Callithrix jacchus: one gene and its partners. The protein of the gene in region 1 interacts with the protein of each later gene in a pairwise test. Links are inferred from orthologs where the notes say so. Each region holds a gene or a part of one and is shown on either strand. Other genes may lie near its edges.

The links.
Region 2: the proteins of TRIM27 (region 1) and ABCF3 interact in binary tests that used the Homo sapiens proteins (3 or more experiments, as listed by UniProt). The two-hybrid records come from large-scale screens. The link is inferred for Callithrix jacchus from reciprocal best matches to the Homo sapiens genes TRIM27 and ABCF3.
Region 3: the proteins of TRIM27 (region 1) and PRPF31 interact in binary tests that used the Homo sapiens proteins (3 or more experiments, as listed by UniProt). The two-hybrid records come from large-scale screens. The link is inferred for Callithrix jacchus from reciprocal best matches to the Homo sapiens genes TRIM27 and PRPF31.
Region 4: the proteins of TRIM27 (region 1) and ARMC7 interact in binary tests that used the Homo sapiens proteins (3 or more experiments, as listed by UniProt). The two-hybrid records come from large-scale screens. The link is inferred for Callithrix jacchus from reciprocal best matches to the Homo sapiens genes TRIM27 and ARMC7.
Region 5: the proteins of TRIM27 (region 1) and FHL3 interact in a two-hybrid assay, tested with the Homo sapiens proteins (2 studies listed by BioGRID and IntAct). The two-hybrid records come from large-scale screens. The link is inferred for Callithrix jacchus from reciprocal best matches to the Homo sapiens genes TRIM27 and FHL3.
Region 6: the proteins of TRIM27 (region 1) and BMP7 interact in binary tests that used the Homo sapiens proteins (3 or more experiments, as listed by UniProt). The two-hybrid records come from large-scale screens. The link is inferred for Callithrix jacchus from reciprocal best matches to the Homo sapiens genes TRIM27 and BMP7.
Region 7: the proteins of TRIM27 (region 1) and NEDD9 interact in binary tests that used the Homo sapiens proteins (3 or more experiments, as listed by UniProt). The two-hybrid records come from large-scale screens. The link is inferred for Callithrix jacchus from reciprocal best matches to the Homo sapiens genes TRIM27 and NEDD9.

The regions. Positions count from the first base shown.
Region 1 is NC_133505.1:2,087,846-2,091,923, forward strand, and holds part of TRIM27 (zinc finger protein RFP), read left to right. Parts: intron 1-203; coding exon 204-226; intron 227-2,996; coding exon 2,997-3,112; intron 3,113-3,243; coding exon 3,244-3,276; intron 3,277-4,078. UniProt on the Homo sapiens protein: E3 ubiquitin-protein ligase that mediates ubiquitination of various substrates and thereby plays a role in diffent processes including proliferation, innate immunity, apoptosis, immune response or autophagy.
Region 2 is NC_133516.1:13,170,454-13,175,072, forward strand, and holds the start of ABCF3 (ATP-binding cassette sub-family F member 3), read left to right. Parts: upstream 1-1,435; 5' UTR 1,436-1,452; coding exon 1,453-1,525; intron 1,526-1,747; coding exon 1,748-1,895; intron 1,896-2,036; coding exon 2,037-2,116; intron 2,117-2,628; coding exon 2,629-2,675; intron 2,676-2,892; coding exon 2,893-2,990; intron 2,991-3,083; coding exon 3,084-3,206; intron 3,207-3,362; coding exon 3,363-3,629; intron 3,630-3,929; coding exon 3,930-4,010; intron 4,011-4,093; coding exon 4,094-4,153; intron 4,154-4,252; coding exon 4,253-4,309; intron 4,310-4,420; coding exon 4,421-4,443; intron 4,444-4,553; coding exon 4,554-4,609; intron 4,610-4,619.
Region 3 is NC_133523.1:47,313,773-47,316,536, forward strand, and holds the end of PRPF31 (U4/U6 small nuclear ribonucleoprotein Prp31), read left to right. Parts: intron 1-1,416; coding exon 1,417-1,542; 3' UTR 1,543-1,835; downstream 1,836-2,764. UniProt on the Homo sapiens protein: Involved in pre-mRNA splicing as component of the spliceosome. Required for the assembly of the U4/U5/U6 tri-snRNP complex, one of the building blocks of the spliceosome.
Region 4 is NC_133506.1:131,033,019-131,037,716, forward strand, and holds the start of ARMC7 (armadillo repeat-containing protein 7), read left to right. Parts: upstream 1-1,470; 5' UTR 1,471-1,880; coding exon 1,881-1,971; intron 1,972-2,055; coding exon 2,056-2,199; intron 2,200-4,698. UniProt on the Homo sapiens protein: As a component of the minor spliceosome, involved in the splicing of U12-type introns in pre-mRNAs.
Region 5 is NC_133508.1:74,580,692-74,585,508, reverse strand, and holds the start of FHL3 (four and a half LIM domains protein 3), read left to right. Parts: upstream 1-1,850; 5' UTR 1,851-1,924; intron 1,925-2,082; exon of another isoform or gene 2,083-2,254; intron 2,255-4,817. UniProt on the Homo sapiens protein: Recruited by SOX15 to FOXK1 promoters where it acts as a transcriptional coactivator of FOXK1.
Region 6 is NC_133506.1:52,768,710-52,772,787, reverse strand, and holds part of BMP7 (bone morphogenetic protein 7), read left to right. Parts: intron 1-1,995; coding exon 1,996-2,193; intron 2,194-4,078. UniProt on the Homo sapiens protein: Growth factor of the TGF-beta superfamily that plays important role in various biological processes, including embryogenesis, hematopoiesis, neurogenesis and skeletal morphogenesis.
Region 7 is NC_133505.1:19,409,626-19,413,703, forward strand, and holds part of NEDD9 (enhancer of filamentation 1), read left to right. Parts: intron 1-529; coding exon 530-1,771; intron 1,772-3,445; coding exon 3,446-3,535; intron 3,536-4,078. UniProt on the Homo sapiens protein: Scaffolding protein which plays a central coordinating role for tyrosine-kinase-based signaling related to cell adhesion. As a focal adhesion protein, plays a role in embryonic fibroblast migration.

The DNA of each region.
Region 1 (4,078 bases):
GAAGGAGGGTGTGGGAAATGCTGACATAGCAAAGAGCACACAGCTTGTTTTGCTCGGCCTGCTTTTCAGCTCCTCAGGACTGAGTTATGCTCCAGCGATCCTTGCCTCCTCGATCTCTCCCAGGAGAGCCAGCCTGAAGCTGGGTTTTCAACAAACATCTGTGAAATGACTTCTCATGGTTCTGTTTTTCCTTTCTCTTACAGGACATCGGGGATACATTGAGCAGGTATGGCTTTCTGTTTCCCTAGTGTTAAAAATCAAATATGAGGGGCCGGGCGCAGTGGCTCAAGCCTGTAATCCCAACACTTTGGGAGGCCGAGGCGGGTGGATCACAAGGTCAGGAGATGAAGACCATCCTGGTCAACATGGTGAAACACTGCCTCTACTAAAAATACAAAAAAATTAGCTGGGCATGGTGGCACAGCCTGTAATTCCAGCTACTCAGGAAGCTGAGGCAGGAGAATTGCCTGAACCCAAGAGGCAGAGGTTGCGGTGAGTCGAGATCACACCATTGCACTCCAGCCTGGGTAACGAGCGAAACTCCATCTCAAAAAAAAAAAAAATCAAATATGAGAAGACTGTCTCCTTCACATTTGTGAATCCTGAAAAGAGCCCTGAGCCTGAGAATGGGCATCTTATCAAATTGATGTATCCCTGAAAAGAGTCACTAGTATGCAAAGAATTATATGAACCACAGCTCTTCTCAGTAAAATTCAGGGAGTGGGCGGCTGCTGGTGGATTAGGGATATGAGGACACTTCCATGGAGAGAGTGTAGCCTTACCGGGACCTGGGCTGAGTATAAGGGTAGTTTATGATTGTTGCTTCCTACACGTTTCACAGTCTTTTCCCCCTTCATTGTCTTTCTCTCTTTTTTTCTATAACGGGGGAAATAAGGCCTAAGAAAGGTGTGACTGACCTAGATTTACATAATTACGGATGAGCCACCTGGATTCTGGCTCTTATTTTTGCTATTCTCTGTTCCATCAAAAAGAAAGTGAGGAAGAGCTCCCTGGCAGCTGGACATGACCAGAAAGGGAGAGCTTGAAGGGGGCAGCAAGCCAGGGCAGAGTTGTATTTGCAGGAAGGATGACTAGGCGAGTAGGATGGTCCTTGGGAAGCTTATGTCTGGTGCAGGAAGTGCCTTCCAGGTGGAACCTGACTTTGAGGGAGCTGTACTTTGAAGGTGATTAAGACCCTGAATAGTGAAACCCCCTAAAGCAAAATACAGCTTGACTATGTGGGAGCATTTAAAGATATGGGGGAGGGCCTTATAGATGGGGCTGGGAGGCCTGTGTTGATAGAATCACGTTGATGGAATTGAGGTTCCTGAGGGACCCTAAGATGGAGTGGTGGAGTTTATACTAGTCCCAGCCACATGACCCAAGCAAATCTCCTGTTACCTGCTACTTCATGATGCCAGTCTAGCTCCAGCCTAACATACGCAGTTAGCTCCCTCGGACCATAGCAGTTTGTGACATTAAAGATTGAATTTGGCTGTATAAGATAGAAAACCCAAAATGTTATTGGCTTAAGGCTTAAACATGATAAAATTTTTCTTACCATAAAAGAAATGTGCAGGCTGGGCGCGGTGGCTCACACCTGTAATCCCAGCATTTTAGGAGGCAGGGCAGGTGGATCACCTGAGGTCAGGAGTTCGAGACCAGCCTGGCCATTATGATGAAACACCTTCTCTACTAAAAATACAAAAGTTAGCCAGGCATGGTGGCACATGCCTGTAATCCCAGCTACTGGGGAGGCTGAGGCAGGAGAATTGCTTGAACTTGGTGGCGGAGTTTGCAATGAGGTGAAATTGCGCTACTGCACTCCAGCCTGGGCGACAGAGCCAGACTCCATCTCAGAAAAAGAGAAATGTGCAGGTAGGTAGCCTGTGACTAGTATGGTAACTGCAGCGATCCTCAGAGACTCAGGTTTCTTCCCATTCACTGTTCTACCATCCCTAAGGTGTGGTTCTTGTGGAGTCCACAGTAGCTGGTAGAAAGCCACACAAGAGGAATGAGATAAGTCACATGACATTACTTTTTTTTCTTCATTTTTCTTTTTTGTAGAGGCAAGGTCTCATCATGTTGCCCAGGCTGGTCTTGAACTCCTAGCCTCAAAGCAGTTCTCCCACCTCAGCCTCCCAAAGTATTGGAATGGCAGGCATGAGCCACTGTTCCTAGTCATGTTACTTTTTTAAGCAGACTTCTCAAAACACCATGAGATGCATCTTACCTCTCATAGGCCGGAACTCAGTCACTAGGTCACATGCAGCGATGAGGGACTGGGCAGCTGTGAGCCATTAAAGGTGAAAGGTGGTAGAAGGGGTATTGGGTGGCCAACTGGCAGTCTTTGCCATAGACAGCCTTGCAGGGCAAGGGAATTGGGTATTGTCCCCCACAGTGCCTTTCTGTCTGAACATGCCATTCTCTCCGTATTTGGGAACCTGAGAATTCGGGGTAATTGCCCACCATAAATATCAAAGATTAGTGCTTTCCGGCAAAGTCAGCCTCGTATGTAATTCAGTAAATTGTTCTGGGTACTGAATATTTGGAAAGCTGTGAGCTACCTGCTTTGGGGGTTATAAGAATGAGTGCAGGCCAGGCGTGGTGGCTCACACCTATAATCCCAGCACTTTGGGAGGCTGAGGCGGGTGGATCATGAGGTCAAGAGATCAAGACCATCCTGGGCAACAAGGTGAAACCCCGTCTCTACTAAAAATACAAAAATTAACTGGGCATGGTGGTGTGCGCCTGTAGTCCCAGCTACTCTGGAGGCTGAGGCAGGAGAATTGCCTGAACCCAGGAGGTGGAGGTTGCGGTGAGCCGAGATCGCACCATTGCACTCCAGCCTGGGAAACAACAGCGAAACTCCGTCTCAAAAAAAAAAAAAAAAGACTGTCCATCTGTGCTGGACAGTTTAGCTTAGGCAGTCCTGGTTCTTAGAAGGTCATGGAATTGAGGAAAATAATTTATTTACTCACATTTTTTCAATTTAGGGCTGAAAGAATCAGGATTCCTGAACCTTGGATCACGCCTCCAGATTTGCAAGAGAAAATCCACATTTTTGCCCAAAAATGTCTCTTCTTGACGGAAGGGCTAAAGCAGTTCACAGGTAACGTGCGGGGAGATGTCATGAGGGAGACGGATTTATACTCAATGTCTGCATATTCCCTGATGAAAAGATATATTTTCCAGCCAGATAGTGGGATGCAAACTGAATATTTTCTTGTTTTCTTTTCCTAGAAAAAATGCAGTCCGATATGGAGAAAATCCAAGGTAAATTTATCTACCTCCTGGGCTTTTGATGTAAAGTTGCTTGGAAAGAACATCTGCACTGAAAGTGCGGAAAATGGGATAAGGCTGCTACCCATTGGCCAGCCTTCCCTGATGTTTCACTTCTTCCCTGTGGCCTTAATTTTCTCAGTTAACAGCCTGTTAACTGTATTTAGTCAGTTCTCAGTCTGCATTGATGGAGGCAAAAAAATCAGCCACCCAAAAATTAATCCACAATTAATTTGATTTTTCAGGAAAGAGTATGAACAAAATCTGTCCTGGTTACTTGAGCCAGTATTTATCTTTGTAATTTACTGAGTTCCTACTGCTTGTGGGCACAAGCGCCAGCTCCTGTAGGAGGAACTGAGCCGTGCTGACGGGCACATGCTTAGGAGCGGGCAGTCAGGAGTCCAGCCGCCTGGGCTCTGGGCCCAGCTGTACCACTTAGTAAGGATTCTACAGGCAGTTTTCTCATCGTAACATGAGGACAATAATAGTTCTTACCTCCTAAGATACAAGAATAGGGTTACATTTCTAACACTTGTAGAATACAACTAGACACATAAGTCCCATATGTGAGTTTATTAAATAAGGTGTTCTAGGCATTTGGAGAAGTTTCTCCAAATTTAAATTCTTCTGCTCACGATCCACATTCAGTAAAGGGTTGGCCATATATTGAATTCTAAAATTCCTGGGCAGTCTGGTGGATTCTGAAATCCTTTTTTTTTGAGACGGAGCTTCGCGGTTGTTACCCAGGCTGGAGTGCAATGGCGCCATCTCGGCTCACTGCAACCTCCGCCTCCTG
Region 2 (4,619 bases), on another chromosome or scaffold:
GTTCCTCCCATCAGAATTTGCCAGTTGTCCCCATGAAGTCACTTAACATAATCCTCTTTACCTGTATTTCCTGTAAAATGGTTAACCATCAGGATTGATTGATTCCTCATGATGGCAGGTGTTTTGTGTTTTTTTTTTTTGACGCGGAGTTAATTGTTGCCCAGGCTGGAGTGCAATGGCGCGGTCTCCGCTCACCCCAACCTCCACCTCCCAGGTTCAAGCGATTCTCCTGCCTTAGCCTTCTGAGTAGCTGGGATTACAAGCATGCTCCACCATGCCCTGCTAATTTTGTATTTTTAGTAGAGACGGTATTTCTCCATGTTGGTAAGGCTGGTCTCAAAACTCCTGACCTCAGGTGATCAGCACTCCTCGGCCTCCCAAAGTGCTGGGATTGCTGGTGTGAGCCACTGGGCCCGGCTGATGGCAATGTTTTTAATCCAAAGGGATGAATGGGTGGTAATGTAATTTTGGGTGCCACTTTTGGGGCCGATTGGAGGAATTTTCACGTTAAATATACAGCAATAACGTCATCTTGGAGGAAATTCCTAGCTTCCTGAGGGAATCGGTGAAAGGAAGTAGCCTTTTACTGGCATTTACTGAGATTCAGGGTGCGAAGAAGTCGGCTTTGGGGGTAGGTAGAGAATAAATACCAGTGAATTTATACAAGCCACGTTGTCCTGGTTTTCTTGCCCTTTGGCGGTGGATTTGGTCGTGCCTTGGGGTGGTGGAAGAACTGAATGGGCTTAATTCGCAAAGGTCAGCTCAATTATGAAGTATGAAGACAGGTCGCGGCGGGCAGGCAGGTGGCGCTGACCACCAGGCTGAGGAGCCCGTAGGATCCGGGGGCCCGCGAAAGCAAAGCACTGAGGTGGCGGGGTTTGCTGGAGAGTGACAATGTGCGGAAGGACCTGTTACTGCGGGAGCGGGAGCGGGAGCTCAGCGCTCAGAGTCAGAGACGAGGGTGAATCAGCAGCTCTGGGAGGGCTCCAAAATGGGCTTGGCTGAGTGCGCAGCCACAGCAGACGCGCCTCGAGAGAGCGCATAAAACCCGGCAAAGCCAAAGTGCGTTATCAGCCGCTGGTCTCTTGGGAGGCTCCCACCTGCCAGACCACCAGTGCCTCGCGCCCAGATAAATCTTGAGCACTCAGCCCCCGCCCCACCCGCCGCTCCTGGAACTCCACCTTCCAGAAGGCAGCGAGAACCGCATGTGTGGCTAATCTGTAAGCCGGAAAAGAGTTGCGCACGCGCAGAGAGGGCGGCCCAGCGCAGACTCAGCGCCTCTCCTCTGGGCCCCGCTCGCCCCGCCCACCGGGCTCCTTGCACTCCGCTCCTTTCTTGTATCACCGCTACGCATGCGCCTTGCAAGGAGGGGCGAGATTTCGGGGACAGGGCCGGGGGCGGGCCTAGGCCAGGGGCTCACAGCGACTGCGCGGACGGGTTCTCAACTGGAACATGGCGACTTGCGCCGAAATCCTGCGGAGCGAGTTCCCCGAAATTGACGGACAGGTCTTCGACTACGTGACGGGTAAGCAGAACTGAATCAGCTGGCTGAGGACACCAAAGTGGAGGCCGGGGGAAAGCCTAAGCGAGCGTCGTGCCGGGGACTGTTGCCAGGCCTCTCCTCGGCGTGACCTCTTGTCCCGGGGGCCGGTTGGGTCTGGAACCTGGACTGGGGCCGCTGTTTGGGGAAACTGCTTGTGTGTCCTCCCTACCTGATACCTTCCTCGTTCTGCCACGCCCTGCGCAGGCGTCTTGCACAGCGGCAGCTCGGACTTTGAGTCTGTGGATGACCTGGTGGAAGCTGTGGGGGAACTATTGCAAGAGGTGTCCGGGGACAGCAAGGATGACGCGGGCATCAGGGCCGTGTGCCAGCGCATGTACAACACTCTGCGCCTGTATGTGCCGGGCAGTAGGGGTTGATGGGGGCGAAGGGAGGGCGAACGGTCCGGAGACAAGAGGTGGGGGAAGAAGGTCTGACGGCCGTAGAGCTTTTCCCTCAACTGCTAACTTTGCGCTTTCTCTCCCTACCTACATAGGGCTGAACCACAGAGCCAGGGAAATAGCCAGGTGCTACTGGACGCCCCCATCCAGTTGTCAAAGATAACGGAGAACTACGGTGAGAGTGAGGGGAGATTCAACTAACTGCCCTCTGTCCTTTTCTCTGCCCCTACCCATCTGCCCCCTGCAGCTTAGAGCTCCTACTGCGTCTTTTCCACAGGACAGGGTTGTAGGAGCTAGTTGATGTCCTTACCGAGGGCAGAAGAGTCCATGGTCGGGGGGAGGCTGTTGTTGGAGGGTTCTCCTAGCCCTTGGGTATGGTAGGAAGCATAGGAGCCTGGAACTGGACAGACTTGGTTTCACTCGCCCATTTTCCAGCTTACTAACCAGCTGCATGATCTTTTTAGAGTTGGTTATCTGTCCCCACCCCCTCCTATGCTTCTGTATTCTTTTACGTGAGGTTTGTTTGTTTATGTTTTTTAAGTGCAGGGAAGATAATAGCCGTCTATCTCCAGGATTATAAAGCTTTGTAGAAAACGTCTGTGTCTGTGCCTGGTTCATATTAGTCACTCAAAGTGTTAGTTTCCCTTCCCTCAGGGAGAAGGTGACTGCTTTTCTTATCGCTTACAGACTGTGGAACCAAACTTCCAGGACTGCTAAAGAGGGAACAGTCCTCGGTGAGGAGGAGGAAGCAAGGGAGGGAGTGTGTGATGGGGTTGGGAATGGACTGTCTAATTGGAGGATCTTTTGGGGGGATTTCTGACTGTGTCTTTCCCTGAGCCTTTGAGTCCGTTCATCTTGGGTAAGTTAAGAGGGTTTACTTGAGGTGTTCTCTCTTCGGGTTCCTTACTGAGCCTACACCCTAGAGTGAAGTCAATGTGTTTGGATCCTTAGACAGTGAATGCAAAGAAGCTTGAGAAGGCTGAGGCTCGACTTAAGGCAAAGCAGGAGAAGCGGTCAGAGAAGGACATGCTCAAGACCAGCAACCCTCTGTGAGTGGAGAAAGCATGGCTCAGAAGAGAGCAGAGTAGTGTCTGCCTGGACTGGTGGGGAGCACTAAGAGCTGTCCATTTCTCCCTTTAAAGAGTCTTAGAAGAGGCATCAGCTAGCCAGGCAGGCAGCAGAAAGGAGAGTCGATTGGAATCATCTGGCAAGAACAAATCCTATGATGTGCGAATTGAGAACTTCGATGTGTCCTTCGGGGACAGGTGAGGGAATCGTGGGGGCGGGACTTGGCTTTCTTTTTCTAATTAGGGGAAAATTTAGAGAGATGAAATGGGGCTACAAACAATGTTAGGTTTATCGTTAACTTTCTGTGCACCTGTTTTTAGAGCATCTTTGGTCTCCTTTCTCCACCCCTGCAGAGTACTGCTGGCTGGAGCTGATGTGAACCTGGCATGGGGCCGCCGTTATGGGCTGGTGGGGCGGAATGGGCTGGGGAAGACCACGTTACTGAAGATGCTGGCCACCCGGAGTCTCCGGGTTCCAGCCCACATTTCCCTGCTGCACGTTGAGCAAGAGGTTGCTGGAGATGACACCCCTGCCCTACAGAGTGTGCTGGAGAGTGACAGTGTGCGGGAGAGCCTGTTACGGCGGGAGCAGGAACTCAGCACCCAGATTGCTGCTGGCAGGTGAGGGCTTCAGGCTAGAGAGTAACTAGCAGCTGCTGGCCCTCACAGAGTGCCTGCCCTGCTGGAATAATCCACCATTTGCATGTGCATACTAGTAATCAACAGAGCTTAGAACTTGGCACTCTGGCACTCAGCAGCCCTTGTTCTTTCCACAGTGCCCATTGCCCTCATTCCCTTGAGCAGATCCTTCCTCTATTCTCTTCCTCTTGTAGCCAGTGGCCTCTTTCCAGCTGTATAGGGCACAGGACATCCTCCTAGACTGCCCCCACTTAGGCCATTTGCTGTTTCTCCTCCCTCCAGGGTGGAGGGCTCTGAAGCTGCAGAACTGGCAGAAATCTATGCCAAACTGGAGGAGATTGAGGCTGACAAGGCACCTGCCAGGTATATCAAACTCCCCTCCCTCCAGATTTCCTTTCCCTTCTGTGGACTGTTCCACTTGACTTCTTCAGTTTCTTCCCTCCTAGGGCATCAGTCATTCTCGCTGGGCTTGGCTTTACCCCTAAAATGCAGCAGCAGCCTACCCGGTGAGTGACCCTTGCCATTCTTGGCTTTGAACCCTGTTGACTCAGCCCCTTTCTGACCTGATGAACACCCACCCCTAATGTGGCCCCATCATTCTTTAGGGAGTTCTCGGGTGGCTGGAGGATGAGGCTGGCCCTGGCCCGGGCCCTGTTTGCTAGGTGAGTCTTCTGGGCCAGTGTATGGAGCCCTGTGGAAGATTGGTCTTAGCTTTTGGGAGGTGGCAGTGAGTTGCTGCCCTAAACCCTCATGCCATGTATTCTTTTTCATAGGCCAGATCTGCTGCTGTTAGATGGTGAGTTTGAAATGGGGCACCCAGGCTTTAGGATGGGCAGGGGTGGTAGCATCCAAGTTCCTAGTTCTCCAGCCCTGCATTCCTAAGTGTGTGCTCCCCTACTTCTCCAGAACCTACAAACATGCTGGATGTCAGGGCCATCCTGTGGCTGGAGAATTACCTGCAGGTGAGTGCCT
Region 3 (2,764 bases), on another chromosome or scaffold:
GCGCACAACAGTCCTCATGAGCGGGGACCGGGGCTACATCCCAGGGACCCTGTTTTTCTCTGTGGGGCCATGAACGGGTTACATTGCTCAGCCTCTAGGACCTCAGTTTGAAATGGCTAGAGTGGTTAAGGTAACCTCAGGACCCCACTCGAAACAGTTCCCAGCTAGGTGGGCTTGGGTGTCACGTGTGGGTCTGGCCCCCAGCCCAGTCAGCAGTGAGTGGCTTGGAGCACGGCAGTCACCGCACCATCGGCACCGCGGTTTGCCATCCACAGAGCAGGGCGAGCCTGCACCGTGGCTGTGGGACAGTGGGGAGCTCATCTGCTCAGACAGCGGCTGTCGGTGCTCTCGGCTCTGGGGGTGAAGCGGTGAATGAGAGAGACAAGTCTTGCCTTCCTGGAGCCTGTGGGTGGCTGGGCACAGACAGATCAGTAAGATGCCCAGTGTGGTAAAAGGCAGAAATACCAGGGAGGGAAGGACGTGGGAGGTGGGACAGGGAGGCCTTCGTCCTAGCACAGCCAGGGAGGGCCTCACCTTTCCCTGCCTCCACTCCCATGTTATGAGGTGTTCAGTTCTGAAAAAGGAGTGCACAGAAGGCACTTGGTCCTGCACTTGCTGGTGGAGCCTGATGACAGGTCCTGTGCTTATTTTCTCTTTTCTTTCTTTTTTTTTTTTTTTTTTGAGACGGAGTCTGACTCTGTCGCCAGGCTGGAGTGCAGTGGTGCAATCTTGGCTCACTGCAACCTCCGCCTCCTGGATTCAAGCAATTCTCCTGCCTCAGCCTCCTGAGTAGCTGGGATTACAGGCGCCTGCCACCATACCCAGCTAATTTTTGTATTTTTATTAGGGACTGGGTCTCACCATGTTGGCCAGGATGATCTTGATCTCTTGACCTTGTGATCCACCCACCTTGGCCTCCCAAAGTGCTGGAATTACAGGCTTGAGCCACCGCGCCCAGCCTGTTATTATTTTCTTTAGAGACAGAGTCTCGCTCTGTTGCCCAGGCCTTGAAAATATTTAGGAAGTTCCAGCCAGGTGCCGGCGTCTATCGCTGGACACTGTGATCATCAGTAGTGTTGGTGTGATTTGTGCTGGGACCTCCAGCCAGCCACATCCCCCAGAGACTCAGTTTCCTCATCCAGAAACTGAGCAGGATTGGCTGTCCTCAGGCACTGGTGTTTTTAGCAGCCCCTGGGGAACTTGTTAAAAACCTAGGTGCCCTGGTTTCTCCCCACCCTCTCCCCCCAGACCCACTGAGGCAGAATCTTCCAAGGCAGGGCGACTCCAGGGACTGGCAAACTGTCCCATGCCCACCCAAGGCCTGAGTACCACGGGGAAAGGCCTGGGGGGCTCTGGCGTGTCAGTTGGGGCCTTCTCCTTGCCCAACACATCATCCTCTCTCCCTCACCTGCCTAGGGCCTGGAGATTGTGAACCCACAGGCCGCGGAGAAGAAGGTGGCTGAGGCCAATCAGAAGTATTTCTCCAGCATGGCAGAGTTCCTCAAGGTCAAGGGCGAGAAGAGTGGCCTCATGTCTACCTGAATGATAGCGTGTGCCCAACGTGGCTTCCCACTGAAGGGACGTTGAAGTCCAGGCCTTCTGAAGGGCTGGGATGGGGGTTAGGGGTTGTGGCAGGGAGAGCCTTCCCTGCCGCCCACCCGGTGCTCGACTGCCCAGGGAGGGGCCTCGGAAGAAGCCTGGCCCGGCCTCCTCCAGGATGGAGCTCACCGCCCTGGATGGGTTAGAGCAGGTCTTCATGCCTTGTCTTTTTTATTTTAACTGAGAAAGGAGATACTTTTTTGAAGAGAGTGCAATTAAAAAGCACATTATCAAGATCTGTCCTTGGGGAGTGATCATTTTTCAAACAGCTGGGGCAACTAGAATAGTCAGAGCTTCGGAGTTTGGGGAAAAGAGCTTCGCCTCCGGGGCGCACTCCCTCCCCTGTTCCTTTCTCACCAACCCCCTGGAGAACCTCAGTCGCTTTGATAGCAGACGGTGTGGCAGCCGACACCTGAAGATCTCAGCGCAGGCTGACCAAGGTTGCGCTGGCACCTCAGGCCGGTTGCCTCGCCTTTCCGAGCCTCCACAGCTACGCCCAGGCACCCAGGGCTGGAAAGAACGCGCAGAAAGCACTTAGCACAGGGCTCGCGTCAGCACCCAATAACTGGGTCCTGTTACTGGTGTTTTTTAGAGATGAGGCCTCTGTCGCCCAGGCTGGAGTACAGTGATGTAATCATAGCTCACTACGGCCTCAAACTCCTGGTTTCAAGCTGGGATTACAGACGCATGCCACAGTTCCTGGTTAATTTTGAAACTTTTTATAGATGGGGTCGCACTCTTACCCAGGCTGGGCTTGAACTTCTGTGCTCAAGTGATCCTTCCACCTCAGCCTCCCTAAGTGTTGAGATTACAGGCTTCAGCCACTGCGTCTAGCCTCTTACTATATTTTATTTATTCATGTTTTTGAGATGGAGTCTCACTCTGTCGCCCAGGCTGGAGTGTGTGATTTCAGTTCACTGTGACCTCCACCTCCCAGGTCCAAGTGATTCTCTTGCCTCAGCCTCTTGGGTAGCTGGGATCAGGCACCTACCACCAAATTTTGTGGGGGTTTTTTGGTTGTTTGTTTTTTGAGACAGAGTCTCATTCTTTTTTTTTTTGAGACGGAGTTTCGCTCTTGTTACCCAGGCTGGAGTGCAATGGCTCAATCTCGGCTCACTGCAACCTCCGCCTCCTGGGTTCAGGCAATTCTCCTGCCTCAGCCTCC
Region 4 (4,698 bases), on another chromosome or scaffold:
CAGTTCAAAGTTGGACAGGCAGTTGCTGGGCAGATGGCCGTGCAGAAGTGGTTTTGTGCAAGTTTGTGATGGCCTTTGTGCAACGTGGTGGTTTTTGCAGTCTTTGTGATAGTTTTATCAGATATTTATGCATGAGAACTCTCTCGTCCTGGATTTCTTGAACTCTGTCGGGATTTTGTTGGTTTTTTTCTTTTGTTTTGTTTTTTTGAGACGGGAGTTTGGCTCTTGTTACCCAGGCTGGAATGCAATGGCGCGATCTTGGCTCACCGCAACCTCCGCCTCCTGGGTTCAGGCAATTCTCCTGCCTCAGCCTCCTGAGTAGCTGGGATTACAGGCACGAGCCACCATGCCCAGCTAATTTTTTGTATTTTTAGTAGAGACGGGGTTTCACCATGTTGACCAGGATGGTCTCGATTTCTTGACTTCGTGATCCACCCGCCTCGGCCTCCCAAAGTGCAGGAATTACAGGCGTGAGCCACTGCTCCCGGCCTTGTTTGTTTTTTAACGCAAGTGACTCCACTTTTGTACTCTCAGGACATGCACAGCCTAAGCCACCTATACCACATTGTCAAACACGATCGGAGAGTGGCAAGGCCACCTCCTTCCCTGGTGCTTTGTTCCCTGTGACCACGAGTTAATGCAGCACACACCTGCTTCCTGAGAATCCCCGACAGGGAACCGGCCGAAGGGCTTCAGCATCCAGAAAGCCCTGAAAGGGCCACATCCAAGGCTCCTCCTCCGGCTCCCCGGTGCTTCCCCGGGCGCGCGCCGTCCACCCGACTGACGAAAAGCCCCAGGACATAAGCCAGTCCCCTTGATTTCTGTCCAGAGGTGGCGGACCCACCTCGGGCTGGGATGGAGGGCGTATCGGGGTCGCCAGGCTTTTTGCAAAAGGGGCAAAGGACCGATGGGGGGCACAGAGAGCTGACGCCCGCGCTCCGAAGGGCCGTCCGGGTCAAGGAGGCTGGGCCACGCCCCCGCCAGCCGTGGGGGTCCTGGAGGTGCTTCTCCCTCGACGTCCTGCCACATGGGTTCTGGCAGACTCCGCTGCTCCTCGCGGAAATCCAGCCGCCTGACGTGGGCGTCTTACCTTCTGGGCCACGTCGGGGCGGCTGAGGGCCCCGGGGAATGGGCGGGAGAGTGGGAAAGGTGGGGCGGGAAAGCCGAGCGAGGCCCTAACCCGCCCTCCTATCGGCCGGGGCAGCAAGTGGGTTTCTTTCTTGCGTTCAGATTTTGCAGTAATTTGCAGCTGGAAACGAGATAAGGGAAACCAGGCTGCTCCTCGCAGTAAACCCACCCACGCCCGCACCTGTCTCAGGGAATCCGCTAGCAGCGGGCTGCAGCCCAGGCTGAAGGGCTTCCGCATCCAGAAAAAACGTAACCGCGCGGAGTACGTGCGCCAAGGAGTTCGTCGACGGCCCCGCCCCTGTCCCGCCCTTTCCTCCTCGTGCCCGCTCCTTCCGCTATATTAAGGGCGGAGACAGCGCGGCTTCCGCTGGGAGCTCGGAACAGATCCCGGGATCCGGGATCCGGGATCCGGGATCCGGGACCCGGGATCCGGGATCCGGCACCCGGCACCCGGCACACGGCGCTGGTGCCCCCTCTGCAAGCCCCAACTCGTAGACTGTTCCTCGTCGCCCGCGCCCCAATTTCGATTTTCAAACCCAACTCCCACAGGATTCTGAGACCACGCCCCATCTCCCACGTCCCATTTTCAGCGGCAAATTACTGTAGAATCTGAACTCTAGAAAGAAACCCGTTTGCCGCCCCCCATCTTCCCTCTCCACACAGGTGGAGGGCAGGTGAAGGTCTCGCTCGGCTTTCCCCTGCACCTTTCCCACCCTCCCGTCCGTCCCTGGGGGTCCTCTGCCACACCGGCCATGGCCCAGAAGCCGAAGGTGGACCCTCACGTCGGGCGGCTGGGATTCCTGCAGGCGCTGGTCACGGAATTCCAGGAGACCCAGAGCCAAGGTGAGAGCCACGGTGGGGCCAGGGGGGCAGGGTCTGCTGTGACCGCCGCTCGGACCTGGCTCCAGTGCCGCTTTCCCGTTGCAGACGCCAAGGAGCAAGTCCTCGCCAACCTCGCCAACTTCGCTTATGACCCCAACAACTACGAGTATCTGCGGCAGCTGCAGGTCCTGGATTTATTTCTCGATTCGCTGTCGGAGGAGAATGAGACCCTCGTGGAGTTTGCTATTGGTAAGGGCGGGGTCGGTTCCCTAAAGGTCTAATGGGCCGGGGTGAGATAGGTGAGTTAGAAGTGAGTCGTTGGGGCCGGGCGTGGTGGCTCACGCCTGTAATCCCAGCACTTTGGGAGGCTGAGGCAAACGGATCACTTGAGCTGAGGAGTTTGAGACCAGCCTGGGCAACATGGCAAAATCCCGTCTCTACTAAAAATACAGAACTTAGCCGCTCACAGTTGTGTGCACCTATAGGCCCATGGAGACTGAAGCAGGAGGATTGCGTGAGTCTGGGAGGCAGAGGCCAAAGTGAGCTGAGATTGCTCCACTGCACTCTAACCTGGACAACAGAGCGAGACCATGTCTCAAAAAAAAGATGTTTTGTTTTGTTTTGAGACAGTTTCACTTTTTTTCCTCAGGCTGGAGTGCAATGGCAAGATCTCGGCTCACTGCAACCTCCGCCTCCCAGGTTCAAGTGATTCTCCTATCTCAGCCTCCTGAGTAGCTGGGATTACAGGTGCCCACTACCATGCCTGGCTAATTTTTGTATTTTTAGAAGAGATGAGGCTTTGAACTCCTGAGCTCAGGTGATCCACCTGCCTTGGTTTCCCAAAGTGCTGGGATTACAGGCATGAGCCACCATGCCCAGCCCAAAAAAAGATGTCTTAAAAAGAGCAATTTCAGCCACTGCACAGTGGCTCACACCTATCCTAGCACTTTGGGAGGCTGAGGCTGGAGGATCACCTGAGCTCAGGAGTTCAGTAGCCTGGCCAACATGGTGAAACCCTGTCTCTACTAAAAATACAAAAATTAGCTGGGCGTAGTGGCGTATCCTGTAATCCCAGCTACTTGGGAGGCTGAAAAAGGAGAATGCCTTGAACCCTGGAGGTGGAGGTTGCAGTGAGCTGAGATCATGCCATTGCACTCCAGCCTGCCCAATGGGAGCAAGACTCCATTTCAAAAAAATAAAATAAAAAATAAAAGCAATTTTTTGACCAGGCACAGTGGCTCACACCTGTAATCCCAGCACTTTGGGAAGCTGAGGTGGACAGATCACCTGAGGTCAGGAGTTTGAGACCAGCCTGGCCAACATGATGAAACCCTATAGGTAACTAAAAATACAAAAGTTAGCTGGGCATGGTGGCGGGCACCTGTAATCCCAGCTACTTGAGAGGCTGAGGCAGGAGAATCGCTTGAACCCAGTAGGTGGAGGTTGCAGTGAGCCCAGATGGCACCACTGCTCTCCAGCCTGGGCAACTACGAGACTCCATCTGGAAAAAAAAAACGGAAACAAAACCAAAAAAATCCCCAACAATTTCAGGCAGGAGAGGTGGCTCAAACCTGTAATCTCAGCACTCTGGGAGGCTGAAGCAGGCAGATAACTTGAGTCCCTGAGTTCAAGGCCAGCCTGGGCAACATGGCAAAATCCCGTCTCTGCTATTAAAAAAAATTACAAAAATTAGCCTGTCGGCCGGTTGTGGTGGCTCACACTTGTAATCACAGCACTTTGGGAGGCTGAGGCGGGCAGATCACGAGGTCGGAAGTTTGAGACCAGCCTGGCCAACACTGTGAAACCCCCATCTCTACTAAAAACACAAAAATTAGCTGGACATGGCGGGGGGCACCTGTAATCTCAGCTACTCTGGAGGCTGAGACAGGAGAATCACTTGAACCCCAGAGGTAGAGGTTGCAGTGAGCCAAGATCACACCATTGCACTCCAGCTCCAGCCTGGGCAACAAAAGTGAAACTCTGTCTCAAAGAAAAAAAATTAACCTGGCATGGTGTCACAGCTACTCAGGAGGCAGAGGTGGGAGGACTGCTTGAGCCTGGGAGCTTGAGGCTGCAGTGAGCTAGGATTGGGTCACTGCACTCTAGCCTGGGTGACAGAACAAGATCCTGTCTCAAAAATAAAAGTAACTCATATTTAGTGTTTTCATATCAAGAGAAGTAGAGATGGCAATCTGTAACTTATAGCTTCTGTAGTTGTGATCTTAAGACCTACTGAGTGATTCACTGGGCAATATTTATTGGGCACGTACTGTATAAGCAAGCTACTGTTCTAAATGCTGGGGTATGGTGAACAAGTTAGGGGAAGGTCTTTTCCCTCCTGGAGCTTACATTCTAGTAGTGGGGGAACAGCTGGTCAGCAAACAAAAAAGCTGATGCTCAGAAGGAAATAAATAGAGTAATGAGAGACAGCAGCGGAAGATGGGGGCTACTTCAGTCTTGGCCATCATGGGAAAGGCATTTTAGTGGGGACACGGCATGGGCAAAGGCCTTAAAACAGGAAAGAACCAGAAGGAAAGCTGATGTGGCAGGATCATTGTAGTGAAGTGGAGAATGGCACAAAAAGAGTTTAGAGAGCTCAGTGGCACCGGAGGTTGCAGGGGCTTAGATCTAGGCCGTGGGAAATAGTTTAAGCAAACAAAACTTTGAGAGAGAACAAAGTTTTTAAAGCCATACACAGTGCCCACCTGTAGTCCCAGATAGGAGGATCCCTGGAGCCTAGGTGTAGTA
Region 5 (4,817 bases), on another chromosome or scaffold:
AGTTCTTGAATAATAAGGTATGTTAATATATGTAAAATGTTTAGGACTGGTGCAAAAAAAGAATTCAGGAAGTACTGGCTCTTGTTATGACTAGTTAGGAGGGATTAGAGCCATGCATCAAGAACAGAGATTCCAATATTCTGCCTTTCATCGGGCCCTTCTGCACCCACTCATAAACTCCCGCTTTCTGAAGGGGCCCCACCTTTGCCCTCCCATCAGCCCAGAGCTGACCTCCTCTTGGTACCCACTCTACCAAGACTGAGTACTCTTCACTGCTTTGCCCTGGGCTGGGAGTTTCTTACACCTGCCAGATAAATCCCAGAGAGGCCAGGTGCAGTGGCTCACACCTGTGGCCCCAGCACTTTGGGAGGTTGAGGCAGGCAGATAATGAGGTCAGGAGTTCAAGACCAGCCTAGCCAATATGGTAAAACCCCGTCTCTGCTAAGAATATAAAAAAATTAGCCCGGCGTGGTGGCATGCACCTTTAGTCCCAGCTACTTGGGAGGCTGAGGCAGAAAAATTGCTTGAACCTGGAAGGTGGAGGTTGTAGTGAGCCAAGATCACGCCACTGCCCTCCAGCCTGGGCAGCAGAGCGAGACTCTGTCTCAAAAAAAAAAAAAAAAAAAAAAAAAAAATCCCAGAGAAAGGCCCCATCCATGGGCTGGATGCTCACTGCCTGGACTCTAGAAAGCAGATGCCTGTGATCCCAACTGAGGATGTTAGAGGGACACCCATACTGAAGCAGTGTCTGTCATCCATTCAGTCATCAGATGTTTATGATGTACCGGACCCTGGGTTAAGCACTGAGAAGGCAGTGGTGAACAAAAAAAGAGTCCTGCCTTCATGGCTCTTACCATTTAGGCAACAACAGCAATCATAAACAAGCAATGATTTAATTTTGAAAGGAAACCAGGCCTGGAAGGTGACTTGGGACCCAGGAACCCAGGCATGACACAGAAATGGGAGGGAAGGGTTCTCAGGAGCCCCAGCCTGGGAGGGTGTTAGTTCCTCCTTGAGAGCTCAGCTGCACCCAGTCTGGGGTGTGGGGAGGTCTCTGTGCACCTGAATCTTCACTCTAGATGCTAAGGTTATTCCGGGGTTGGTTTGCTGTCTCTTGTTTCCCCAAACAACACAGTAGAGCCTCCTGCCTCCCTCCCTCCCCACCCTTCCAGACCAAGGCTATTTATTCCTAGTGACAAGCCTGAGGATGGGGGGTGGGTAGCCTCAAGGACCTAGAGGGGCCTCGTGTCCCTAGCAGGCGCCAGTCCTTCCTCACAGACACAGGGAGGAAGGAAGCCAGCGGTTCAGACACTACAGAGGTCCCCTCCGCTCTCCTCCACCACCCCTGTGGCGCCCCATCTTCTCACACTCCTCACACCTCTCCCTAGAAGCCAAAGATCATGGGGCCAAGGATTAGGGTCTCCCCGGAGCTTCAAAGGTCAAAACTATTCCTGGGCACTGCGGAAACCCAGGCAAAGCAGGACTTCTCAGTGTCAGGAGGCTGCTGGAGATGGGGAGGTGGTTACCCTGTTTTTGTCACTCAAAGTTGTGGAATAAAACCCTTTGAAGGTCAAGGCCCTATGGTGGGGAAGGGTCCTCTCTTTGCCCCATGTTTTCAGAGAACACCTTGGTACCCGCTGACAGCCTCAAGACAGCAGAGTCAAAACCTCCTCCTCCAGCCTGGATTAAGGCCGGGCTGAGTGTCACCCCTAGGGCTAAGGTTGGGGTTGCGGGGAGATCCGAGGGGGCCAGAAGTCTTTTCCCCAATGGACTGTGGTCTGCGGGGTCTGGTGCCGCCGGCCTGAGATGGAATACAGCAGTCTCCCTCTGGCAGCTGGGGATGGGGGTGGGAGGGGAGGACAGCAGCGGCTGCGGGGAGAGGACAGGGGCTGGTTCCCGGCTGCCCGAAGGTTGGGAGAGCCAGGTTAGGCCGGGAGGGAGGAGGGGGCCGGGCCGGCAAGCGGCCGAAAGGGAGGTGGGGGCGGGGTCTGGCCCCCGCGGCGGGCTGGGGGGCCGGGGGCGGGGTCCGGGCGGGGCAGGCCGGCGCGGACTTCCTCGGGGAGGGGTTGGGGCCGCTCTCCCACTCGCCCACACGGTCCGCCTGCAGTCGGCAGCCTCGCCGGCAGCTCGCTCGGCCCCCGCTCGGCCCGGCCCGCAGGTAGGAGCCGCCGAGGAACGCGGCGCCCGGTTCCCGGCCCCGCCCGCGCCCCGCGCGCCCCGCTCCCGCCGCCCGCCGCCCGCCGCCCGCTTCGAGGTGAGCGCCACGCCGACCCCGGCTCCCAGCCCCGGCCGTCCTCCCCCTCGCCCGGGCCGGGGAGCGAGCGGACCCACGGAGGGCTGAGGCCAGCCGCGGCCCCGGCCCCCTGTCCCCGCTGGGCTCTGGCGGCGGGCGCCCGGGACACGCCGAGCCCGGGAGACCGCCTGCCCGGACTGGACCCCTCCGGGCTGCCCGGCGGGACAGGGGCGGGGGCGGCAGCGAGAGTTGGGCGGGGGAGGGGGGCTAAGTTTGAAATAGAAAAGCCAGAGAGAGACAGACCGAGCAGGAGCGCTGGAGAAACTGAGGTTCTCGGAAAGCCTGGTGGAGCGAGAGACCGAGACAGGCAGGGACTCGAGGCACAGGAGGCTATCGAGATCATTGAAACAAGGACACACTGGGCGTACGGAGTTACCGGTGGACAGACCAGAGGCATGGGGGCCGACCCAGGCTTTGTGGAGCATTTTCAGAAAAAGCTTACGTAGAACCCCAGCGAACACATTGCTAGGGCCCTTCTCTGGGCCTTGGAGGTGCCCTGCGGCGTGGGTGTCAGTGGCATCATGCTGAGTCTGCTCTCTGAGGCCTGCAGAGACACCAAGAGACTAAAGACAGAGACATTCAGGTATGCAGAGATGGCGAAAGAGACCTGGATGCAGAGACAGAGAAAGGGAGGTAGTAGGCATTGAGATATTCAGCCGTGTAGACAAGAAGAGACCAAGACTTGAGATCCACAGAGGCATGGGCCCATGGGGGGACAGCCAGTCAAGATACAGGGCCGTCCAAAACCTAAAGACAGCAGCTGAAGTGTGCCCAGACTGACATGCTCAGTGGAGCAGAGACAGAGACTTAATGGAGGCAGAGAGACCTAGGTGGGCTGACAGCTTCCAAGACAGCCCCTGACATACCCAGGCCTGAACCATTGGGGACACAGAAACTCTGAGCCCACTGATCCCTCAGGAGGCAGAGGCCCGGAGACAGTAAGTTCTAGATCAAGAAGAGCCCCGTGCGTACACACACAGCCACCAGGACAGCCCTAACTTATTTTTAAACTCAAATCTTGGACGGGCTGCCTCAGCCCTGGGGGACTGGGGTGAATGAACTGTTCCTCTCCTGTCCTCAGAGCAGCTTCGGGATCCTGCTCCCCAACCCCCTTCCCTAAACTTCTCTGACTTTCAGGCCCCATGGGGGAGAGCAGAGCTTGGGGCTGGTGCCTGCTTGCAGAGGGTGAGGGTTGGGGGAGTTGAATTTCTCCCTTCAAGTCTCCTGTCAGCTTCTAGAAGGTGGGGGAGGGGTCTGTTCTGATCCTGACTCACAGCTGTGGGACCTGGCCAGGGTCCTCCTGGACAGTGGGTGTGTTGGGGGTGGGGGACAGAAGGGTTGAATGGTTGGCATGGGTCATTGGAAAGGCTTCTGGGTGCCTTCCAATCACAGGGCTAGCAGCTAGGGAGAAGAGCCAGGCTCTGCTGCATCTCCTGTCACCCTGCCCTTAAAAGCTGACCATCTCCTTCATCACCAGGGCAGCATTTTTAGGGAGACAGCAGAGCTCTGGGCTGGGAGGCAGGGGATCTGGGTCCTGATACCTGAGTGATCTTGGGCATGACCCTGCTCTGTTCCTCAATTGTAAAATGGGGATACATTTTACACAAAAAGCAGGAAGGAATAACACAAAAGGCAGGAAGGAATGATACTCCGTCCTTCCTGCCTTTTGTGAGATCTGATGAGATGGGATAGGCATGAACTTTTCGAGTGGCAAAGCAGCATGCAGGTGTCTAACACCCGTGGACCTGTGTGAGAGATCTCAGATTCATGCTTACTAGAGTCAGGCTGATGACCAGGCTGGAGTGACCAGGACACTGGCCCCACTGGTGTCTTCTGCAAGTCCCATGGGCCTGGGGCCTCCTGTTCTCTTCCTGAGCCTACACTGAGAATGTCCAGGTCAAATTTCAGAACAGGCTGGGCACAATGGCTCATGCCTGTAACCCTAGCACTTTGCGAGGCTGAAGCTGGAGGATCATTTGAGGCCAGGAGTTAAAAGACCAGCCTGGGCAACACAGTGAGACACCCATCTCTACAAAAAATAGAAAAACCTAGCTGAGCATGATGGCACATGGCTGTAGTCCCAACTTCTCAGGAGGCTGAGGCAGGTGGTTTGCTTGAACCCAGAAGTTACTTTTTTGTTTTTTGAGACAGAATTTTGCTCTTTTCGACCAGGCTGGAGTGCAATGACACAATCTTGCCTCACTGCAACTTAGGCCTCCAGGGTTCAAGCATTTCTCCTGCCTCAGCCTCCGGAATAGCTGTGATTACAGGTGCCCACCACCATGCCCTGTTAATTTTTGTCTTTTTAGTAGAGATGGGATTTTACCATGTTGACCAGCTGGTCTTGAACTCCTGACTTCAGGTGATCCAACCACTTTGGCCTCCCAAAGTGCTGGGATTACAGGCATGAGCCACCTCACCTGGCCGAGCTCAGAAGTTTGAGGCTTCCATGAGCCATGATTGTGCCACTGCACTCCAGCCCTGGCAACAGAGTGAGACTCCAACTCAAAAAAAAAAAAAGGCT
Region 6 (4,078 bases), on another chromosome or scaffold:
CCTGGCAAGCTCATCCAGTCCTGGCTTTAAACCCCATCTCCAAGCTGGGGACGCCCAAGCTTACATCACTATCTAGACCACTGCCCCGAGCCAGCATTTATTGAGCATTTAGGGTATGCAAAGCTCTGCCCTGAGCCCTAGCTGAGCATTAAGTGACAGAGGCAGGGTTTTGAACCCAGGATGTCTGGCCCGGGCCCCACTCCCTCCCTCACTAGCCCAGAGCTCTTCTTTTCCAGTTGATCCATTGATCAAGCCTAGGCCAGATCTCTGCAGCCCACCTGACAGCTTCCTTTTGGTGTCAAGTAGGGATTTCAGACAATATCTACTAAAGCAAACTGCATTTTGTCTTCCACCCTCTATTTCTCAGCTTATGCTCCATTGCCTCTGTTTCCCTACGTTGGTAGACAGCCCCTCCCTTCTTCTGGGGCCTTGGGCCAAAAGCATGCCAGTCTCATAAGAGTCCCCTTTTTCTCACACCTTTTATAATCCCTCCCAAAATTCAGTCCCAAATCTCCCCTTTCCTAGTTTGGAGGTTGTGTGCTGGTTATTTGAAATGTCACCTTTGGGGAAAACTGGATGAAGGGCACTTGGGACCTCCCTGTACATCGTCTTTCAATGAACTGTGAATCTATAATCTTTTCACAACAAAAAGTTAAAACCAAAATAAATTCTAAAGATGGATTTTAAAAGTGAACTCTTGAGGATCTAGCCATTTCTCAACAGCCTCCCTCCCCACCATCCTGGGTCCAGTCTCACGCCATCTCCCATCTGGACAATGCTGTTGTCTCCCTTTCAGGTTGACTCCTGCAGTCGGCTCTCCAGGGATAGGCTGAGTGGCCTTATAAAAACCACTGTAAGTCCCACCCTCATGGTTCTCACTTCTTGCAGAGTGCCTCAGTGTCCTGACCAGGGCCCTGGATGTGAAGTTCCACCCACTGGGTGGCCTGAAACACAACGCTTTATTCTCTTACAGTCTGGAGGCGAGTGGTCCAAAGTCGAGGCCCACAGGGCTGTCCCCTTACAAAGGCTCTAGGGAGGAGTCGCTCCTTGCCTCTTCCAGCTTCAGGGGCTCCTGGCAATCTTTGGCATTTCACAGCCTCTGTCTTCCTAGGGCTGTCTGCGTCTGTTTCTTTATGTGGCCTTCTTATGAGTCAGCAGATTAAGGCTCATTTTAATCTAGTATGAGCTTAACTGACAACAGCACATCTGCAAAGACCCTGCTTCTAAATGAGTTCACATCCTGAGGTTCTGTGTGGGTATGAATTTTAGGGGACAGCAGCAACGTGGGACAGTGGGCTGAGGTGGTGCTCGTGTTGCTCACAGGACCTGACCTGACCCACGCCCCTCCTGCCCCTCCCAGTTGTTCCTGCTACCCGCCCCTGCTCCTTGAGCACACCCTCCCCTCTCCTGCCTCTGGGCATTCACCTCTGCAGTTCCCTCTGCCTGAAATACACTCTTCCCAGACATCCAATGGGCCCCCTCGCTCACTGTTACCCAAATCTCTGCTCAGGTGGCCCCCGTAGTCATTAGAGCTGCTTGCAGCTGCTCCACCTTCCCTGGCACAGAGCAAGATTGCCCCCCAACTCCCTGAAGTTAGGCAGATACCATGACCTGCTCTGGCCAATGAAATGCGAGTGACACTTACGGGGTTCACTAACTTGCCACCTTCCGCAGGCATCATCCTGGCTCCCCACCCCTAATATTCCCCTCCCTGCCTTCCCCACTAGCATGGAAACCCAGAGAACAGGACGTTTTCTTGGCTGTGTTTGCAGTTGTGGTCCAAGTTTCTTAAACAGCACATGGCCTAGAGTGAGTACTCAATAAATACTGGCAGGATGGAGGAATAAGGAGTTCACGAATGAACCGGAGGCACGGTGTCTTGGCAGCCCCGTCCTGCTCTCCGCCCTCCCGTGACCACTCTCCCCTGTAACCGCTCTCCCTGTAACCGCTCTCCCCGTAACCATTCTTCCGTGTACTTGGCTGCTTCCTGTCCAGGGCAGAGCATCAACCCCAAGTTGGCCGGCCTGATCGGGCGGCATGGGCCGCAGAACAAGCAGCCCTTCATGGTGGCTTTCTTCAAGGCCACAGAGGTCCACTTCCGCAGCATCCGGTCCACAGGGAGCAAACAGCGCAGCCAGAACCGATCCAAGACGCCCAAGAACCAGGAAGCCCTGCGGATGACCAACGTGGCAGGTACACCCAGGTGGGAGGGATCACAGATGCCCCACCCCACCCCCCAGGAACCCTGAAGGGCCCCAGCGGGACCAGGCAGGGGAGCAACTCAAAATCCATTCAGCTGCTCAGCAGATGGCTGTGGAACAAATAGCAGGAGGAAAACCCCCAAGTCCCTCCCTACACAGAGCATCTTAATTCTGTAAAAGTCATAAATTAGCTTAGAAATGCTAGTAGCAAAACATTTAACGCAGCACCAAGCATGTAGATATTTAAATAGACAGAATAATGGCTGAACTTACAGCTACACAGAGATGAAGGAAGACTCTGAAGGAGGGAGAGGAAGAAATGGGGAAGTGGAAGAGTTTGCTGTATCTTTATTTCATAAAGTGAAAATGTTTTAAATTCATGGCAAATTTTAATACTTGATAAATATAGATGGTAGGTGTTTGTTTTGATTTTGTTTTTGAGACAGAGTCTCGCTCTGTCACCCAGGCTGGAGTGCAGTGACGCGATCTCAGCTCACTGAAACATCTGCTTCCTAGGTTCAAGCAATTCTCCAGTCTCAACCTCCTGAGTAGCTGGGACTACAGGTGCGCACCACTGCATCCAGCTAATTTTTGTATTTTTAGTTGAGAAGGGGGTTTCACCATATTGGCCAGGCTGGTCTCGAACTCCTGACCTCAAGTGATCCACCTGCCTCGGCCTCCCAAAAATGCTGGGATTACAGGCATGAGGCACTGCTCCTGGGCAGGTGGTAGGTTTTAAAAAATATATATGATTTGGGATACTTTTCAATTCGTTTGAAATGTTTCTCTACTATATGTTTTTTTAAAAAATTAAAGATAACATTTTCGTTGCAAGCAATTCAAGTCTTAACAGTAAACATAAGTAAAGCGAACGCACTGTACAAAGGAGACTTCAGCCCCTCTAGAGCAGACCTCTTTCAGCCCGTCAGGTTGTGTGGTTCTTGAGGTTCTGGGGTAGATGACCTCCCACTTCACAGAGGGGAAAACTGAGGCTCCAAGAGGGTACGTCGTTTGTCTAAGGACACAGTGTAGGTAAGTGGCAGCCCTGGGATTGGGTCCCTGGGGTCTGGATGAACCCTTGCCCCAGGTACTCTTCCCTGTTGGGCTTTGCTGGGGCCATCTGCCTGGCCAGGATGAGCTTTGGTGTCCTCAGCAACTCCATCAAGTGCTTTCTGACAATTCTCCAGGCGTTTGTGGAGCCCCCACATGGGCCTGGCTTTGTCCCAGGCACTGGGGCTGTGGCTGTGATGAATCCTGTTCCGCATAAGCTGATTGGGGAACTGATATTGACAGCTTCTTGTGACCTGGGGCTGCTGGAATCTCAAGAAGGTGTGTTCTGGTTCTGGGCTTTGCGGGTGGGCTGACCTGGAACAGCCCTGCTGGCACTGTGGGCGTGTGTGGACAGCCCTCCCACACACCTTGCCCAGCTTATACCCCCTGCACATGCAGTGCCAGGTCTGCCAGAAGATGCAACTGGACTCCTCCCAGACTAAAACCAAAGTGTCGAGTCAATGAACCTGACAACAAACCATTTTCCAGTGGGCTGGATGAGTGACACCCCCCAGATCCAAGGAGCCAAGTTTGCTCCCATCCCCAATCCCATCCCACTGGACAGGGAAGGTGCTGCCCAGAGGTGCCATTTCTCTGGCTCCTCGGGAAGCCAGTTGCAATGAGCAGGGCAACAGCCTCTCCAAGATGCCAGTGTCTTAATTCCTGGAACCTGTGAATATGTCACCCTCCAAGGCAAAGGGGAGTTAAGGCTGCCCACGGAATCACAGGTGCTAATCAGCTGACCTTCCAATATGTGGGCTCTGTGTAGCAGGCGGTCCCATCAGTCCCTACAGGAGAGAGCCTTTGCGAGCTGTGGTCGGACCCAT
Region 7 (4,078 bases), about 17 Mb from region 1:
TATCCTGTAGAGAGTTTGACAGTTTTCTCAGTTTGTATGTTCAGGTGAACTCATTTGACTCATTCTGTTACCCTCTGGGGTATGCCTGCACAGGAAGCATGGTAATCCCCACTTTACAGACAAGGGGACTGTGTTTCAGACACCTATGCAGCTCGTTCAGCATCATACAGCTGCTGTGACGACCAAAGAGACAGGGGGAGACCTCTGGTCTTACTCTGCCTCTCGGCACAGATCAGCAGAAGAAGGATACCCAGGAGGTGGTCAGAAACACAGGACTAGAACACAGGAGTAAGCAATTTAGCCAGGAGGGTTCCACATATGAGTCCGCACCAAGAATGTGGGGGTGGACACACTTGTTAAAGGACAAGGGAAGTGACAGCAGAATCGTGGGGAAACGTGGAAGTGCCTAACATTGGGGGCAGCGGGGGGCGACCGAAAAAGTGCCAGCAAATAGGACGGAGAACATGGGATCGCATGTTCCCATGAGCCAACTCGATAAATAGCGTTTTGCTGTCTACTCACTTTTCAGGTCTATGCCATTCCACCCTCTGCTTGCCGGGATGAAGCAGGGTTTAGGGAAAAAGACTATGACTTCCCCCCGCCCATGAGACAAGCTGGAAGGCCGGATCTCAGACCAGAGGGGGTTTATGACATTCCCCCAACCAGCACCAAGCCAGCAGGAAAGGACCTTCATGTAAAATACAACTGTGACATTCCAGGAGCTGCAGAACCGGTGGCTCGAAGGCACCAGAGCCTGTCCCCGAATCACCCACCTCCACAACTGGGACAGTCAGTGGGCCCTCAGAACGACGCATATGACGTCCCTCGAGGCATTCAGTTTCTTGAGCCACCCGCAGAAACCAGTGAGAAACCAAACCCCCAAGAAAGAGATGGTGTTTATGATGTCCCTCTGCATAATCCACCCGACGCTAAAGGCTCTCGGGACTTGGTGGATGGGATCAACCGATTGTCTTTCTCCAGCACAGGCAGCACCCGGAGTAACATGTCCACGTCTTCCACTTCCTCCAAGGAGTCCTCACTATCAGCCTCCCCAGCTCAGGACAAAAGGCTCTTGCTGGATCCCGACACAGCTATTGAGAGACTTCAACGGCTCCAGCAGGCCCTGGAAATGGGTGTCTCCAGCCTAATGGCACTGGTCACCACCGACTGGCGGTGTTACGGATATATGGAAAAACACATCAATGAGATACGCACGTCGGTGGAGAAGGTGGAGCTGTTCCTGAAGGAGTACCTCCACTTTGTCAAGGGAGCTGTCGTAAATGCTTCCTGCCTCCCAGAACTCATCCTCCACAACAAGATGAAGCGGGAGCTGCAAAGAGTCGAAGACTCCCACCAGATCCTGAGTCAAACCAGCCACGACCTAAATGAGTGCAGCTGGTCCCTGAATATCCTGGCCATCAACAAGCCCCAGAACAAGTGTGATGATCTAGACCGGTTTGTGATGGTGGCAAAGACAGTGCCCGATGATGCCAAGCAGCTTACCACAACCATCAACACCAATGCAGAGACCCTCTTCAAACCTGGCCCTGGCAGCTTGCATCTGAAGAACGGGCCGGAGAGCATCATGAACTCAACAGAGTACCCACATGGTAGCCCCCAGGTACAGCTGCTGCATCCTGGTGACCACAAGGCCCAGGCCCACTCCAAGGCACTGCCCCCGGGCCTGGGCAAGGAGCAGGCCCCTGACTGTAGCAGCAGTGATGGTTCTGAGAGGAGCTGGATGGATGACTACGATTATGTCCACCTACAGGTAAAACAACCAAACTCATAAAACACCTACGCTCACTCACAAGCAGGGAGCCTGGGACGGATACCTGTGAGGCTGTCGGGTTGGACTACCAAAGGAGAGAACCGGATGTATTTTTTTTTTTTAACCTGATGAATGTTAATCCACGTGGTTCATAAATTGGAGGGCGTGTTGTAGAGTAGGAAGAACACTGGACTGAGAGTCCTGAGTACTCACTCAGCTCTAGTCCTTTCTCTGACACTTACTGTGTGACCAACTTATTCAACCTCCTTGGGCCTTCATTTCCTCATGTGCAAAATGAATGGCGTAAGGGTTTGGATTAGATCCCACTGATATATCTCAGGCAAGAGGAGACTCACCAAGTAGGATAGCAGGCTCTCTAATAATAATACCAGCTCCACTTCTATTTGTGTTTTAGGTATGGTTCCATATAACATTTTATTTGGAAAAAAAAAAAAAGTTTTCATCATTAAGAAAAAGAGTAGAAAACCTTTCCACTAGAGATTTTCCAAGGTCCCTGGTAGCTACTTTGTGTGTGTGTGTTTGTGTAATTGCTTTAAAACTTAGCCCCATCTCAGACTTACCTAGAGGACCACTGCGCATTCGCTAGTTGTCCCTGGAGCTTAATCTATGTATGGGACATTGGACTGTCAAGTTGGCCTCCTACAAGTGGGAATTCCAGCAAGTTCCGAGTTGACCTGGGATTCTGACAGTTGTCCCTTCCACTTTGAGGGATTAAAACATTCTACCAAGATCCATTATTTAGGACTAAGGCTTATTATCTTTTTTTTGAGACAGAGTCTCACTCTGCCACCCAGGCTGGAGTGTAGTAGCGCCATCTTGGCTCACTGCAGCATCTGCCTCCCGGGTTCAAGCAATTCTCCTGCCCCAGCTTTCTGAGTAGCTGGGACTACAGGTTTGTGCCACCACATCAGGCTAATTTTTGTATTTTTAGTAGAGATGGGGTTTTACCATGTTGGCCAGGATGATCTTGATAGCTTGACCTCGTGATTCGCCTGCCTCAGCCTCCCAAAGTGCTGGGATTACAGGTGTGAGCCACCGTGCCCAGCCTAGGCTTACTCTCTTATTCTACCATTCTTTTAATTTGACTGAGAGTCACAGATTATACTAAGAACTACATAACTATTATACTGAATTCCCTTGAGTGCAAAAAAGTGTGGGAAGGAGAACTGAGCCTCACCTGGTGCTGAAGTAGGGAGTGGAGAGAGAGAGGATGGAGGCATTGAACATTCACCTTACTGCTTGTCTAAGTCTGCACAGTGGGCATTACTGCTTCGGAGCAGAGATCTATAGATGATTTGAGGGAACTAGAAGTGAGAAGTGGACCACATTTAGACCTGTGTTTGGAGGTTTACAGGTTCACATAAAATCTATTAGAAAAGAACCCAGCAGAATAGTACATTTATATAGGAGATTTGAAGGGAATCAGGAGTAGATCTCTGGAAATGGTAAGGTTGCACAGAAGGCTGGCACCCTGTATGGGAATGGGTTTTATTTTTCTGCCATCCCTGTCTAGGATTCACAGTGCCTCACTGGGTATTAGGTGTTGCCAAGGCAGTGGAAAATATAGAGTATTTACTCATCTGTCAATGAATTTGTTAGCATTAGTGAATCACAGTGATGACATAATATGTTCTTTATGTTGAAAATTAACAGGGTAAGGAGGAGTTTGAGAGGCAACAGAAAGAACTATTGGAAAAAGAGAACATCATCAAACAGAACAAGATGCAGCTGGAACATCATCAGGTAAGTTCAATCACGTTGGAAATATTTTCCACCTAGTACTAAGGAAAAGTATAACTTCAAGAGATTATGATTTTGATTCTTCCAGCTCACTGGCGGGAATCAGCTCCAAAGCACAGAATGAGGTTTAAAAGCAAAGAGGTGGTTTATGTCCTTGCTAGTTCATCTGGGTGTACCTGGGTTATTTCTAAAAGGCAGGTTTTTTTTAATGCTAAAGCTGCATATCTAACATATGAGGACTATTTGCGTTAAGGCATTTGGTCCCAAGAAACAAGACCCATTCAAGCTAACCTGAGCAAACAGGTTCATAGCAAAGCCGTAGTAAGGGAATTCAGTAACAGAAAATGAAGATAGAGCCAGGTCTGGTGAGAACTAGAACTGTAAATTCTCTCTCCTTCTTGTACTTCCTTTGCTTCTTTCTATATATCTACTTCAATCTCTTCTATTTTCTGGTTTCCTCTGCTTATCTACTCATTTGGCTCCCCCGTAACTTTGCAGAACTCATAAATGGACACTCAGAGCTTTTTCTATAGATGACCTCTCATC